Oryctolagus cuniculus: one gene and its partners. The protein of the gene in region 3 interacts with the protein of the main gene of each other region in a biochemical or structural test. Links are inferred from orthologs where the notes say so. Each region holds a gene or a part of one and is shown on either strand. Other genes may lie near its edges.

Region 1 (4,124 bases), on a different chromosome or scaffold from region 3:
GCCCAGGGACCGTCGCTAAACTCCCGTTACCCTAGAACCGAGAGATCGCCGCGTCCCCGCCCCCTACCCCTCGCGCTCGTCGTCACCGGGACCGAGGCGAGCATGCGCGAGGCGCTGTGTGCTCGTCAGTGGTCGGAGCGCACATCGCCCACGGTCCCCGAGGCGTTGGGGGAGGGGACGGCGATTGAACCGGTGCCTAGTGGAGGTGGCGCGGGGCAAACTGGGAAAGCGGTGTCGTGTGCTGACTCCGCCCTCTTCCCGAGGGTGGGGGAGAACCGTATATAAGTGCCGTAGTCGCCCTGGACGTTCTTTTTCGCAACGGGTTTGCCGCCAGAACACAGGTGAGTGTCGGGTGTGGCTTCCGCGGGTCTGGCCTTGAGCGGGCTGGGGCCCTCGCGTGCTCGGGGACACTGCCATGCCACTGAGCCTCTTGACGAGGTTCCTGGCTCCGAATTTCGGGCTGTAACGGGGCGGGAGGGTTGGAGGTTTGCGCGTTTTCCAGGAGCCTCTTCCTCGTGCTGGAGTTGAGGCCTGGCGTGGCCGCCGCGTGCGAGTCCTCTCGCCTTCGCGCCGGCCTGGCTAGCCTCGCTCGCGGGGCCCTTCGGCCCTTTGAGTTTTTACGTGGATCGGTACGGCTCTTTTTTTGTTCGTCGAGATGGGCCCGCCGAGGCCGGGCGGGCTACCCCGCGCGTTCGTCGTCCGGCCCGAGGGGGTGGCAGGGCGGCCGCGCGGCGTAGGGACAGCGAGCGGCGGGGCCCGCCCGTCCGGGCGCACATGTCGGGCGCGGCCTGGGCGAGGCCCGACGGCGCCGCGCCTGCCCAGGCCGGGCGAGGGGAGAGGCGAGGGTCGTGGGGCGGGCGGCTCGGTGGGGCCGCGGCCGCCCCACCCCGGGCGGCGGAGCCCGGCCCGCTCGGCACCAGTTGCGTGCGCGGAAAAAGATGGCCGCTCGCCGTCCCCGCTGCAGGGAGCTCAAAATGGAGGACGCGGTGGCCCGGGAGAGCGGGCGGGTGAGTCACCCACACAAAGGAAAAGAGCCTTCCCCTCTTCGGCCGCCGCTTCCTGCGACCCCACGGGGTACAGGGCGCCGTCTGGGCACCTGGCTTCTTCGTGTGGCCTTTGGAGTTCGGCTTGGCTCGGCTGGGGGCGGAGATTTTTTAGGCGATGGAGTTAACTCACTCGGTGGGTGGAGACTGAAGAGTTAGGCCAGCTTGGCATTGGATGTAATTCTCCTTGGAATTTGCCCTTTTGAGTTTTGAACGTGGCTTAGTCTCAACCCTCGGACAGTGGTTCAAAGGTTCCCCCCCTTTTTCCATTTTAGGTGTCGTGAAAACCACCGCTAAATCAAAGCCAAAATGGGAAAGGAAAAGACTCACATCAACATCGTCGTCATTGGCCACGTAGATTCGGGCAAGTCCACCACCACTGGCCATCTGATCTACAAATGTGGTGGCATCGACAAAAGAACCATTGAAAAATTTGAGAAGGAGGCTGCCGAGGTATGTCCAGTATCGCAAGGGAAAGATGCTGAATTACATTAAGTCTGGCCACTAAAATGAGAGTGCTATGACTATAAAAGACAACAGTGATTAGTTGTCTGAATGTGAATGTTAAAATCACGAGCCACCATATCGACTGGAGAGCCACCTAGGCCCAGCAGTTTGGGAAGCGGAATGCATTCCCAAGCGGAGGGGGGCATGGGGTTTCAAGCTTTGCTGTGTCTTAGTAACCGTCTGAGTGCTCTGTGTAATTACAGATGGGAAAGGGCTCCTTCAAGTATGCCTGGGTCTTGGATAAACTGAAAGCCGAGCGTGAGCGTGGTATCACCATCGACATCTCCCTGTGGAAATTTGAGACCAGCAAGTATTACGTGACTATCATTGATGCCCCAGGACACAGAGACTTCATCAAAAACATGATTACAGGCACATCTCAGGTTTGTGCAACTAGTAACTGTAGACATAAGGTTTTCTAGGCGGGGGGTGGGTGAGTTCCTCCTTAGGTTTGAGGTACCTTCGTTCACAGTGTGTGTCCTTGATTTCTTTAAAGGCTGACTGTGCCGTCCTGATTGTTGCTGCTGGTGTCGGGGAATTTGAAGCTGGTATCTCCAAGAACGGGCAGACCCGTGAGCATGCCCTTCTGGCTTACACGCTGGGTGTGAAACAGCTAATTGTTGGTGTTAACAAGATGGATTCCACTGAGCCACCCTACAGCCAGAAGAGATACGAGGAAATCGTTAAGGAAGTCAGCACCTACATTAAGAAAATTGGCTACAACCCTGACACAGTAGCATTTGTGCCAATTTCTGGTTGGAACGGTGACAACATGCTGGAGCCAAGTGCTAATGTAAGTGACTTTCAAGACAGTGCTTGTTAAAGAGCTGGAAGTGGTGATGTGATAGAATTAATTGTTCTCTTGTGTTTCAGATGCCGTGGTTCAAGGGATGGAAAGTCACCCGCAAAGATGGCAATGCCAGTGGAACCACACTGCTTGAAGCCCTGGACTGCATCCTTCCACCAACTAGACCAACTGACAAGCCTCTGCGTCTGCCCCTACAGGATGTCTACAAAATTGGTGGTAAGTTGGGTATTAATGTAACATCAGAATATAACTTGAATTGGAACAGGTGAAAAATCTTTGGCCCTCAATAACTCTTTGGTAATCTGCAAATATTTTAGGTATTGGCACTGTCCCTGTGGGCCGAGTGGAGACTGGTGTTCTCAAACCTGGCATGGTGGTAACTTTTGCTCCAGTCAATGTCACAACTGAAGTCAAGTCCGTCGAAATGCACCATGAAGCTTTGAGTGAAGCTCTTCCTGGGGACAATGTGGGCTTCAATGTCAAGAACGTGTCTGTCAAAGATGTTCGTCGTGGCAACGTTGCTGGTGACAGCAAAAATGACCCACCAATGGAAGCAGCTGGCTTCACTGCTCAGGTAACAATTTAAAATGATCTGTTAATTGACAATGTTCATGCATACTCAAGGGGGTAAGCAATCTGATGCATGTATGAAGTGTTATCACATCAGGGGAGTTAGCATTTCTAGCTGTTACCACAGTTCAGTTTGAGAAGCACTAAAATGCATATCCTTTTTTTCCCAGGTGATCATCCTGAACCATCCAGGTCAGATCAGTGCTGGGTATGCCCCTGTACTGGATTGTCACACAGCTCACATTGCTTGCAAGTTTGCTGAGCTGAAGGAAAAGATTGATCGTCGTTCTGGAAAGAAGTTGGAAGATGGCCCTAAATTCTTGAAATCTGGTGATGCTGCCATTGTTGATATGGTTCCCGGCAAGCCCATGTGTGTTGAGAGCTTCTCTGACTATCCTCCTCTGGGTAAGGATTTTTTTTTTTATTGCTATTACAAGTTGTACTAAAGATTAACAATTGCTTCTGTGAACTATGTGTCTCATGGCAACTCAATACTTGTTTTAATAGGTCGTTTCGCTGTCCGTGATATGAGACAGACGGTTGCTGTGGGTGTGATCAAAGCAGTGGACAAGAAGGCTGCTGGAGCTGGCAAGGTCACCAAGTCTGCCCAGAAAGCTCAGAAGGCTAAATGAATATTACCCCTAATACCTGCCACCCCAGTCTTAATCAGTGGTGGAAGAACGGTCTCAGAACTGTTTGTCTCAATTGGCCATTTAAGTTTAATAGTAAAAGACTGGTTAATGATAACAATGCATCGTAAAACCTTCAGAAGGAAAGGAGAATGTTTTGTGGACCATTTTTTTTGTGCGTGGCAGTTTTAAGTTATTAGTTTTTAAAATCAGTACTTTTTAATGGAAACAACTTGACCAAAAATCTGTCACAGAATTTTGAGACCCATTAAAACAAAGTTTAATGAGAAACCTGTGTCTTCTTGTCAACACTGGACCTGTCAAATGTGTTCCAGGTTTTTCTAATTAGAATTGGCTGGAATTTTAAAACTCCATGGGTTAGGGATTTTTTCCCACCTGTTTGTTTTAAGCTATGGAGGGCTGTTAGCCCTGCTGGTTAGAACTGTTGACATGTAATTTAGTTTAGAAAGCAAAATTCTGTAATCTTAAGGGATGAAATGTTGCATATAAAATTGTGTAGCTACAAGTAAATTTGTTAGAATCATTAAATTTTGGTTTCCCAAATTA
Region 2 (4,080 bases), on a different chromosome or scaffold from region 3:
TTCCCCAAGCTGACAGTGAACCCATCCTGCTGCTGCTCAGGCCAAAAGCCTCAGCGTATCACGATGTGGTTCCCCTTCTCAAACGTGTCCCATCCGTTCAGATTCTGTTGACTCTACCTTCCAAAAAAAAAAAAAATCAGGCACTGCTCACCACCTCTACTGCCATCTGCTCCACCCACAGGCGGCCCCGAAGGTCGCCCACTTCAGCCTTGCCCGGCTCCCTCCTCCTCATCACCGCGGCTAGTGAGCTCACTAACAAACAGCTGTGTGGCCCCGGGTTCAGAAGCCCCCTGCCCCCCACACTCCCAACTCGAAAGAAAAAACAATTCGTACCCCTACCTGCAGATAGGCGGCCGCCCCTGACCCAGCGCCTCTCCTGCCTGCACACGGCCCCTTGCTTCCCTCCGCAGGGCCTTCGCACTTCCTGTTCCCTCTGCCCAAGTGCAGCTCATTCACACCTCACTCAGGTCTTTGCGGAAACGCTCCCTTCAGGGACCACCTCCCCACTGCACTGACGCCTGACACAGACGCACATCTGCTTACTGTCCCCCTCCCAGGCCAGGCAGGTGGAGGCGGAAGTTCCGAGAGAGCAGGGCTTGGCTCCACTTGGTCCTCTATCGCTGTCCCAGAACCGGAACCACGTCTAGCACGTTTGCACACGCGCCAGTGCTGAGAGTAACTCAACCCCCTGACGAAGGGAACCAACAACAAGTATCGTTTACAACGTTCGGTGAGCCCGCACTGGGAGTCAGCACACCTCTTATCAGAATTCTGGAATGCAACCAGACAGCGCTCCCCAGCCCCCCAATATCAGCTCCACAATGCAGACGGGTCTGCCCTCACATGAAACGGGGTTAGTAAGAGTAACGACAAGGAAACGCAAGCGTGCGTTAGGCACTCAGGGCTGCAGACACGTTGCAATGCTTTGCTGCACCGTCCAGAACAAGTCCAGGTCACAGCCCTCGTACCCGGCCCACGCAGACCTCAATTCTTCCGGAAACACCTACAGGCCTTTGCTCCCGCTTACTCCGGGCTCTCGCTCAGGCAGACGAAGGACAAGCAGAACGCAGCGGGCTACGAATCCAGCACCCTGCGGAGAGACGCCTGCAAGGCAGCGTCTGCAGATCCAGCACCCGCGAGGCCAGGAGCCCCTCGAGGGCCCATTCGGGCCGACCCCGCGACCCCCTCATCCTACAGGGGGCTCCTACTTCCCCTCCCCCGACCTGCGGCGGTGCGCGGGGACGGAGGGCACGGGCCGGGGACCCCGTGTGCCGCCGGCAAGCTTTCAATTCAGCAAACCGGGAGGAGTTACGCGGCAGCTCCGCGGGCCTCCCCGGACGTCCGTTAGAAACGGACCGGGACGCGTAAACCGCACGCCGCGCTGGACACCGCCGGCCGGTCGGCCGACACGCACCGGCCCCTGTCTGTCCCCCGAGGGGCGCGGCCGTGCGGGTAACGAGGACCTCACACGGTCCCGATACCGCTGCTGCCGGCTCCGGCCCGCACAGGCTCCCCCGGCTGCTGTCCCCGCCGGGAGCCACACGCGCGCACGGCTCTGTCACTTCCTCCGCCGCCCCTACCTCACCACCACCACCACTGCGGCGTGAACCCCAAACCCCCAGGACTCACGCCGGACGCCCCTCAGGTGCGTCTCCCCGGGCGCCCGGCGCCGAGGGAATGCGCCGCCGCGGCTCTGCCCGATCCCGCCCGCCCCAGCCGGCGCCCCTCGTCCCGGCTCCCACTCGCAGAGCTGCCCCCCACGGTCTACCCACCGGCTGACCCTCGCCTCCGACGCAGAGGCGCGGTGTCCTTCCCAGCGCTCAGCCGTTAGGATTCAAAGGTTTTTCATTTTAAATAGGAGTTAAACCCTCCAACCCGAAAGCTGATTGGCCTGAGCTACAGCGAGTCACTTTGTGATTGGCTCACAACAAGCACGGCGGCGCAGACGGCGCGCAGGCGCACTTGCCCCGTGAGACCCCGGAAGTGGGGGAGCCAACGGCCCGTCCGGCCAGTGCCCGTTCTAACCCCCGCGCTGCTCTCTGGGATCAGGCATTTGCCCATGAGACTACAGCCCCTTGGAGTCAGGAATGTCCCATAGGAGATAAAGTCGGAATTGGCGAAGGAAGCGCTCGAACGTGCCAGTAAGTAAGATGGCGAGAAGCACAAGGGAGATTGGGACCCATCGATAACGCAGCGCTCGGCGTGGCGCCCTTCGCGCGTGCGCAGCAAACGTGCGCCCGGAGCGATCGATTGGGCAGGATTCGCGCCTCCATTTTTCTCGGAGAGAGCGGGAGAGCGAGAGAGCCGGATCTGCGGGTATGGGGGTCCGGGGATACGGCAGGAGTGGCTGGGGTGGTCGTCTGGGCCCTTTAGTGGACCACCCGAAGGGCCGGGGCGAGGCGGGAAGGTCGAGAGTGAGCGAGGTGGCGGGCGCCCCGAGCTGGCGCCCCGAGTTGCGGGGTGGGCCTGCACACCCTTTCCCCTTCCCCAGGGCCTCGCTCCCAGCCCGACCCCAGCTCGAGGTCGCCTCTGCGCCACCTGGCCCCTCTGACACCGTGGCGGGTCGGGTTCTTCTGCCCTCGTGCCTCAGTGTCCTCACCTGCAAACTGGGCCGGTGCGGCGGCTTGACCGACCCTTTCGCCTTTTTGTTCCTTTATGCCCTTCCTACCCGGCACGATGCGCGCCTGCAAGCGTGGAGACGGGACAGGGTGGTGGTCGCGTCCCGGGGGAGTTGCTCGGCCACCCTTGCACTGGAGCGGGCGTCCCGACCCCTGTGAGCCCGCTGCGTCGGCTCCGTTGGGTCCCGGCGTCGCCTGCACGGGCGTGGGCCTTTACAGAGTGCCCGCCCCGTATCCGACAGTTAACCCGCGCATCAGGAAGCACTGGTGCTGTAGGGCCCACCGGTAGTTAGAACTCGGGCTCTGAAGTCGCTCTTATTTTCATTACAGTTACAGACACCTGCAGCCTTCCCGTGTCTGCCCAGACATGCGTATGCGTACAGATATTCGTATTTAATTTACTTCCTACCTGCTGATTCACTCCCCAGAAGCCCACAGCAGCTTGGCTAAGCCAGGCCAGGGCCAGCCTCGGAGAATTCTGTGTGTGGGTGGCACAGGCCCGCAGGAAGCTGGCGGCAGCAGCCCCGGGACTCGACCCGCACTCGGACATCGGATGCCCTGGGGCGTCCTAGCCGTTAGGTCCAGTCCTAGCCCTAGACACTGATTCGTCAGATTATCTGGGGAAGTCCACCAGCTAGCGTTCTTGTTTGTATAAACCAGGGGCCATCATCTAGTTCTACATTTAACTAACATTGAAGGAAACTTGGGTACTCGTGAATCAGTCTGGATCTTTATATCGTTTCTATTTTTATAGTTGTCTTTGCTGTATCTCTTCTCGGAAAGGCTTAGTAAGTAGCTCACCTTTAAATCACACAATTAGTCACAAGCGCACGTGCCCTAAAGCAGGTGTTAAGACTGAAGGTAACAGACACGGGCAAACGCGGCTCAGCTGATGGAAACTAACCTAGACATTGGACAGAAGAGCAGTTGTCTTGCCTGTTGCAAGCACGGGTCAGTGTTGACCAGAGAAATGGAAGACTCTGGGGTACCCGTGCAGAGGAGAACCGGTGAGGGGTCCCACTGCACGTGGTGGCCGGCGTGAGCGATTCCTGGGTGCCGGGGCTGTACCCAGTGCTTGCCATGCAGCTTATGCCGTCTTCTCTTAGTTACCACCTGCGGAAGCTGGCTCAGGGGAGTGATGGCCCTGACCCGAGATTCTGCAGCCGCAGAGCAGGGATTTACAGCCTGAGGGAGACCCTGCGTGGCGGCTGACTGAGCGGTGCGTCACCGTCCACCTGTTTTCTTGCAGCTGGCAGGGACGCTGTCCTCACCCCCAGGATGTACAGAACCAAAGTGGGCCTGAAGGACCGCCAGCAGCTGTACAAGCTCATCATCAGCCAGCTGCTCTATGACGGCTACATCAGCATCGCCAACGGCCTCATCAACGAGATCAAGCCGCAGTCGGTCTGTGCGCCCTCCGAGCAGCTCCTGCATCTCATCAAACTAGGTAGCTCGGGAATCC
Region 3 (4,021 bases):
CTCCGGGCCCCCAGAACATGTAGTTGAACTCAGCCTCTTGACATCAGTTTCTGTAATCCTTGCATCAGTGTAGGGAGTAACTGCTTGAGTAACTACAAAGGTATTTCAAAACTTCAGTGCAATTTGGTTCAGTTATTTTCATTCAGATGCCATCACCGTTCAGGAAGATTAATCACTGGGACCCACTGATCCATGTAGCGACTCTCCCGGCAGAAACAAATAAGTTGGCTTAAGGCAGGATCCTTCCATTGCGATGAATGTGGATTCTGGGGGGAGAGGGGGGAGATAAGAGACATAAATTTATTGCTAAAAAATAAAAACAAAACAGCATTTGCTTACAAGTACTCTACTCTTGATGGGAAGACATTTGAACATTCTATATTGTGGCTGCAAGGCACAGGGACAAGTTACATGCACAATAAATAAAGTTTCTTCTAGGTAACTGGGATACGATCTCAGCGACGTCTAAAATGTGCAGCCAGCACTGAGCCACACCTGTTTGCACGGTACTGGCTCAGTTTTGCATGACAGTTATCACTCACAGATTTGCTCTACCAAAGCTGTACCCTGGCAGAGCCCTGGGAGAAGCAAGACTGAGAAGCAGTTCCAGGCTGTGCACACAATGGGAGCTACCCAGCAGCTGGCAGAATTTGCCACCTGTTATCTTCCCAAAAGACAGAACAGTACTTGTCAGGAGCAGCAAAATCATTAAGCTTCACTACACCAGTCAAAAAAGACAGATTTCAAATGCCTGCACATTTACCTCGGAACACATAAGGTACCTAGTCCCAAAGGTTTGCATCACAGCAAGGAAAAGGTCCATTTAAAAAAATGCAAGATTGTATATTAAAAAAAAAATTCCACTCTATCCTCTTAATGTATTTCTAGGGAATTAATAAGTTCTGTCTCCTACACCACTTCTATTTTTAGCTTTAACTGGCAGAGAATAAGCTGACTCCTTAATGAGGGGTGAGCCAGGAATTTATTTGGCTTTATCTAATCTGCCCAGCTAAAGGAATTAGTCACGGGAGGTAGTGCAGATGTAGGTAGGGAGTAGCTGGGCTGACTGCTGACTCACAGGGATCTCTTCCGCTGCTGGCTGCCTCCAACGTGCTCAGACATGTTCTTTAGCAGAGAAAATCGTGATGATGAAACTAGTCCATCCCGGCTGAAAGTCCGCCTCACTCCTCAGTGGGCCAAAGGCGGCCAGGCTCCTGACCCCCGCCCCCGCCCGGGCTGCAGGCAGCCGACTCTGGACTCCCTCCCTTCCAGGGCTGCGGCCCGGCCCGGCCCGGCCCGCAGTCCCCCAGGCCCTTACCGTCACCAGCACGCAGTGCAGGTCCGGCGGTTGCGCGGCGCCCTCGCTGGCCGCCGGGCTGGCGTCGGTCTCCAGGAGCAGGAGCTTCGCCAGCCGGCCCGGGTTGCTGACGCGCAGGATGTTAATGTCGTTCTCGCAACAGAACGCCTGGATCAGGGTGAAGTGGATCTGCAGCGCCACATCCCTGTCGTCGTCCTCGTCCGCCGCCAGCAGGCACAGCACCACGTTATCCGGGTCCCTGCGGGCAGCGCGCGGGGCCGGTGAGCACACGGGCGCCACCGGCCCGCGTGGGCGCCTGACACTCCCGCTCGGGTCCCCGGGGTCTGCCCCCCACCCCTCACCACCCGCCGCTCGTCGCAAGGCAGCCTCGGGGACAGATGGAAGGCGGCCGGAAGCGGCGCCGCAGGGCGAGGGGAGCGCCCGGGAGCGCGACCCCGGCGGGCTGGGGCGGCCAGGGGCACCAGGGGACAGCGGGGGCCCCACTTACACGTTGAGCAGCTTGGCCGCCTCGTACACACCGACGGTGATGGTGCGCTGACTCAGGGCTTTGCTCAGCACCTCCTCCAGGGCATCCCCCACCTTGTCCATCCTACACGCGGGCAAAGGCGAGGGGGCACGTCAGTCCGTGACCTCGGAGCCGCCGCGGGCCCCTGGCCCCGCACCGCGAGCCTCGACGAGTGCAAGTGCCGCCAAGCACCCCGGCTTTCTGCAAACCCAGGGTCTCCCGCCCCGTCACCCCCACCCCCCTCCTTGACCCTCGGCACGCCCAGAAGCTGGGGTGTCCGGTGAGGAGCCCCGACAGTGCTTCCCGCCACCCTCCCCGGAGGACACTGCCCCCAGACAGCTGCCCTCTGCCAAAGTCTCTGGGAGCGGCGGCCGGGCTGGGGGCACGCGCCTTGAGGGTCCCTGAGGGAGCGAGGGCTGGAGGTGCCCTGTGCAAACTTTGCCGCCCGCTCGCCCCTCCACTCTCCGCAATCCGGGTGCAGGGAGCTGCGCGGGCAGGGCGCGAGGAGTTCAGGTCGCAGACGCCAGCAGCCGACTTACCTTTCGGTCTTCTGCTCTCCAGCCGAGAATTCCTCCAAAGTCATATTGCAACTGCAGGTCCCTCACAGAGAGAGCGCGCGGCGTGCGGGCGGCTCCTGCCACCGTGGGCGCGCGGGCGCCTGCTCCCCGTACTCGCTCCCAGGCTCTGGTGCAGTCCGGCCGCCCCTCTTCCGTCCGGGCTCCACCTCCAGCGCCTGCAGCCACCGCGCCGTCCTCTGCTCCCGCCCGCCGGCTCTCGGCCCCTGGTTTCGCCGAGGACCGCGACACCACGACCGCAAGCTGCCACACAGCCACTGCAGGACAAAGGGCCCCGGGGTTATCCGACCAGCCCCCAGCCAACCACTTCGTGCCTTATTTGCATACGGCACGACCATTGGGCTATGCAATCAGCCTGGTTTGGGCAATCCGAACCCGGCTCCTGGAACCAGGCTATTAGGAGCGGAAGGGGGCGGAGTCACGCGGGAGGCGAGCGTAGGGGACTGGGGCGGTCGGGGCGCAGGTGGGCGGGGCCGCGAGCTGGCTGTTCCGCGGTTGGTGGGGCGGGGGCGGGCCGAGGGCTTTGTCGCGGCGGGAGGCTGAGGCCGGTTTGCTGAGTGTTTTTCTAGTTGGTGCACATATTTAAATTATCGTTTCATGTCTTTTGTTTTCAGGGTTAATGCACCCAAGTGCGGTAATTATTACTAAGCTGGTTACATTTAAAAAAAGAAAATAGTGTGTCCAAACCTGTAGGGCAAAGTTTACCTCAGCAGTGTTGTTTATCAAAGGCTAGCTAGGCGAAGCTGCTTATTAGTCCTAGTAGTATTTCGGTGCCCTGTTGGCTGGTTTGATTTATTTTTAGAAGGTTACAAGGGTTGGAAGCTCAATAAAGAAAAACCAACACATTTGTGTTCAGGGATGGCAGAGAACCAAGCTGGCGTCTTTTCCCGCAGAAAGCAGAGAGGCTACCGAACCCGCCCAGTGGGACTGTGGAACTCCAGGGCTGGTTGGGATCTGTGGGGAGCTGGTGACCACATGTGTGAGTCGCTGCCTGACAGCCCACGGTCACCTTTCTCAAAGAGCCCCTCGCAGAGAAGGCGCCTTCTGCACTGACACCCGGCGCGGGAGACACGCATCCCACGCCCACGCGAGCTGCCAGTCTAAATTCAAAATTCTGTCTCCGTGTGCCCTCGGCTTCCCTTCATAAAGCAAGTGAGTGTGTCCCTACCTTCCCCAGGCAGCCTATGATCTCACCGTGAATTATTGATGTTAGATGCTGAATCATGAAGCTGTAGCTATAGGTCATTTTAGTCATATGCTACAATCTCACCTTTGGGATAATGGCAACTTGGAGGTGGAAAGCAGACTTTTCTAACTGCACACTTCTGGAAAACAAACTTTAATGTGTAGGCTTTCACTGAACAGTTCAAAAATCCCTTTCTTTGTTTTTTGAGTTTGTGCAATAAATGCAAAAACAGTTCTTAAATTTACTGAAGTCACCCAACCTGGTGGAAATGCCTTCCAAATGCTTGCGTTCAAAAGAGTGCTTACATTATTAAGGTCACTCTACAGTCGAAGGTCACAGAAGTAAATTTTTGCAAGGGTCCCTGGGAGTTCTGTACCCTTTTATTTGTATCATTCTGCACAAATTATTCTCCAGCTCTCTTAATTTAATAGAAAAAG

The links.
Region 1: the proteins of GADD45A (region 3) and EEF1A1 form a complex in vitro, tested with the Homo sapiens proteins (2 studies listed by BioGRID). The link is inferred for Oryctolagus cuniculus from reciprocal best matches to the Homo sapiens genes GADD45A and EEF1A1.
Region 2: the proteins of GADD45A (region 3) and AURKA form a complex in vitro, tested with the Homo sapiens proteins (2 studies listed by BioGRID). The link is inferred for Oryctolagus cuniculus from reciprocal best matches to the Homo sapiens genes GADD45A and AURKA.

The regions. Positions count from the first base shown.
Region 1 is NC_091436.1:99,027,791-99,031,914, forward strand, and holds EEF1A1 (elongation factor 1-alpha 1), read left to right. Parts: upstream 1-1,324; 5' UTR 1,325-1,352; coding exon 1,353-1,496; intron 1,497-1,753; coding exon 1,754-1,933; intron 1,934-2,046; coding exon 2,047-2,343; intron 2,344-2,423; coding exon 2,424-2,574; intron 2,575-2,675; coding exon 2,676-2,932; intron 2,933-3,098; coding exon 3,099-3,333; intron 3,334-3,435; coding exon 3,436-3,560; 3' UTR 3,561-3,845; downstream 3,846-4,124. UniProt on the Homo sapiens protein: Translation elongation factor that catalyzes the GTP-dependent binding of aminoacyl-tRNA (aa-tRNA) to the A-site of ribosomes during the elongation phase of protein synthesis.
Region 2 is NC_091442.1:5,219,271-5,223,350, reverse strand, and holds the start of AURKA (aurora kinase A), read right to left. Parts: upstream 2,801-4,080; 5' UTR 2,600-2,800; intron 2,317-2,599; exon of another isoform or gene 1,959-2,316; intron 1,920-1,958; exon of another isoform or gene 1,773-1,919; intron 1,646-1,772; exon of another isoform or gene 1,425-1,645; intron 399-1,424; exon of another isoform or gene 340-398; intron 1-339. Other genes in the region: CSTF1 (cleavage stimulation factor subunit 1), read left to right, coding at 3,897-4,065. UniProt on the Homo sapiens protein: Mitotic serine/threonine kinase that contributes to the regulation of cell cycle progression.
Region 3 is NC_091438.1:104,885,819-104,889,839, forward strand, and holds the start of GADD45A (growth arrest and DNA damage-inducible protein GADD45 alpha), read right to left. Parts: upstream 2,801-4,021; 5' UTR 2,407-2,800; coding exon 2,363-2,406; intron 1,908-2,362; coding exon 1,806-1,907; intron 1,557-1,805; coding exon 1,319-1,556; intron 1,126-1,318; coding exon of another isoform or gene 1,079-1,125; intron 267-1,078; coding exon 153-266; 3' UTR 1-152. UniProt on the Homo sapiens protein: In T-cells, functions as a regulator of p38 MAPKs by inhibiting p88 phosphorylation and activity.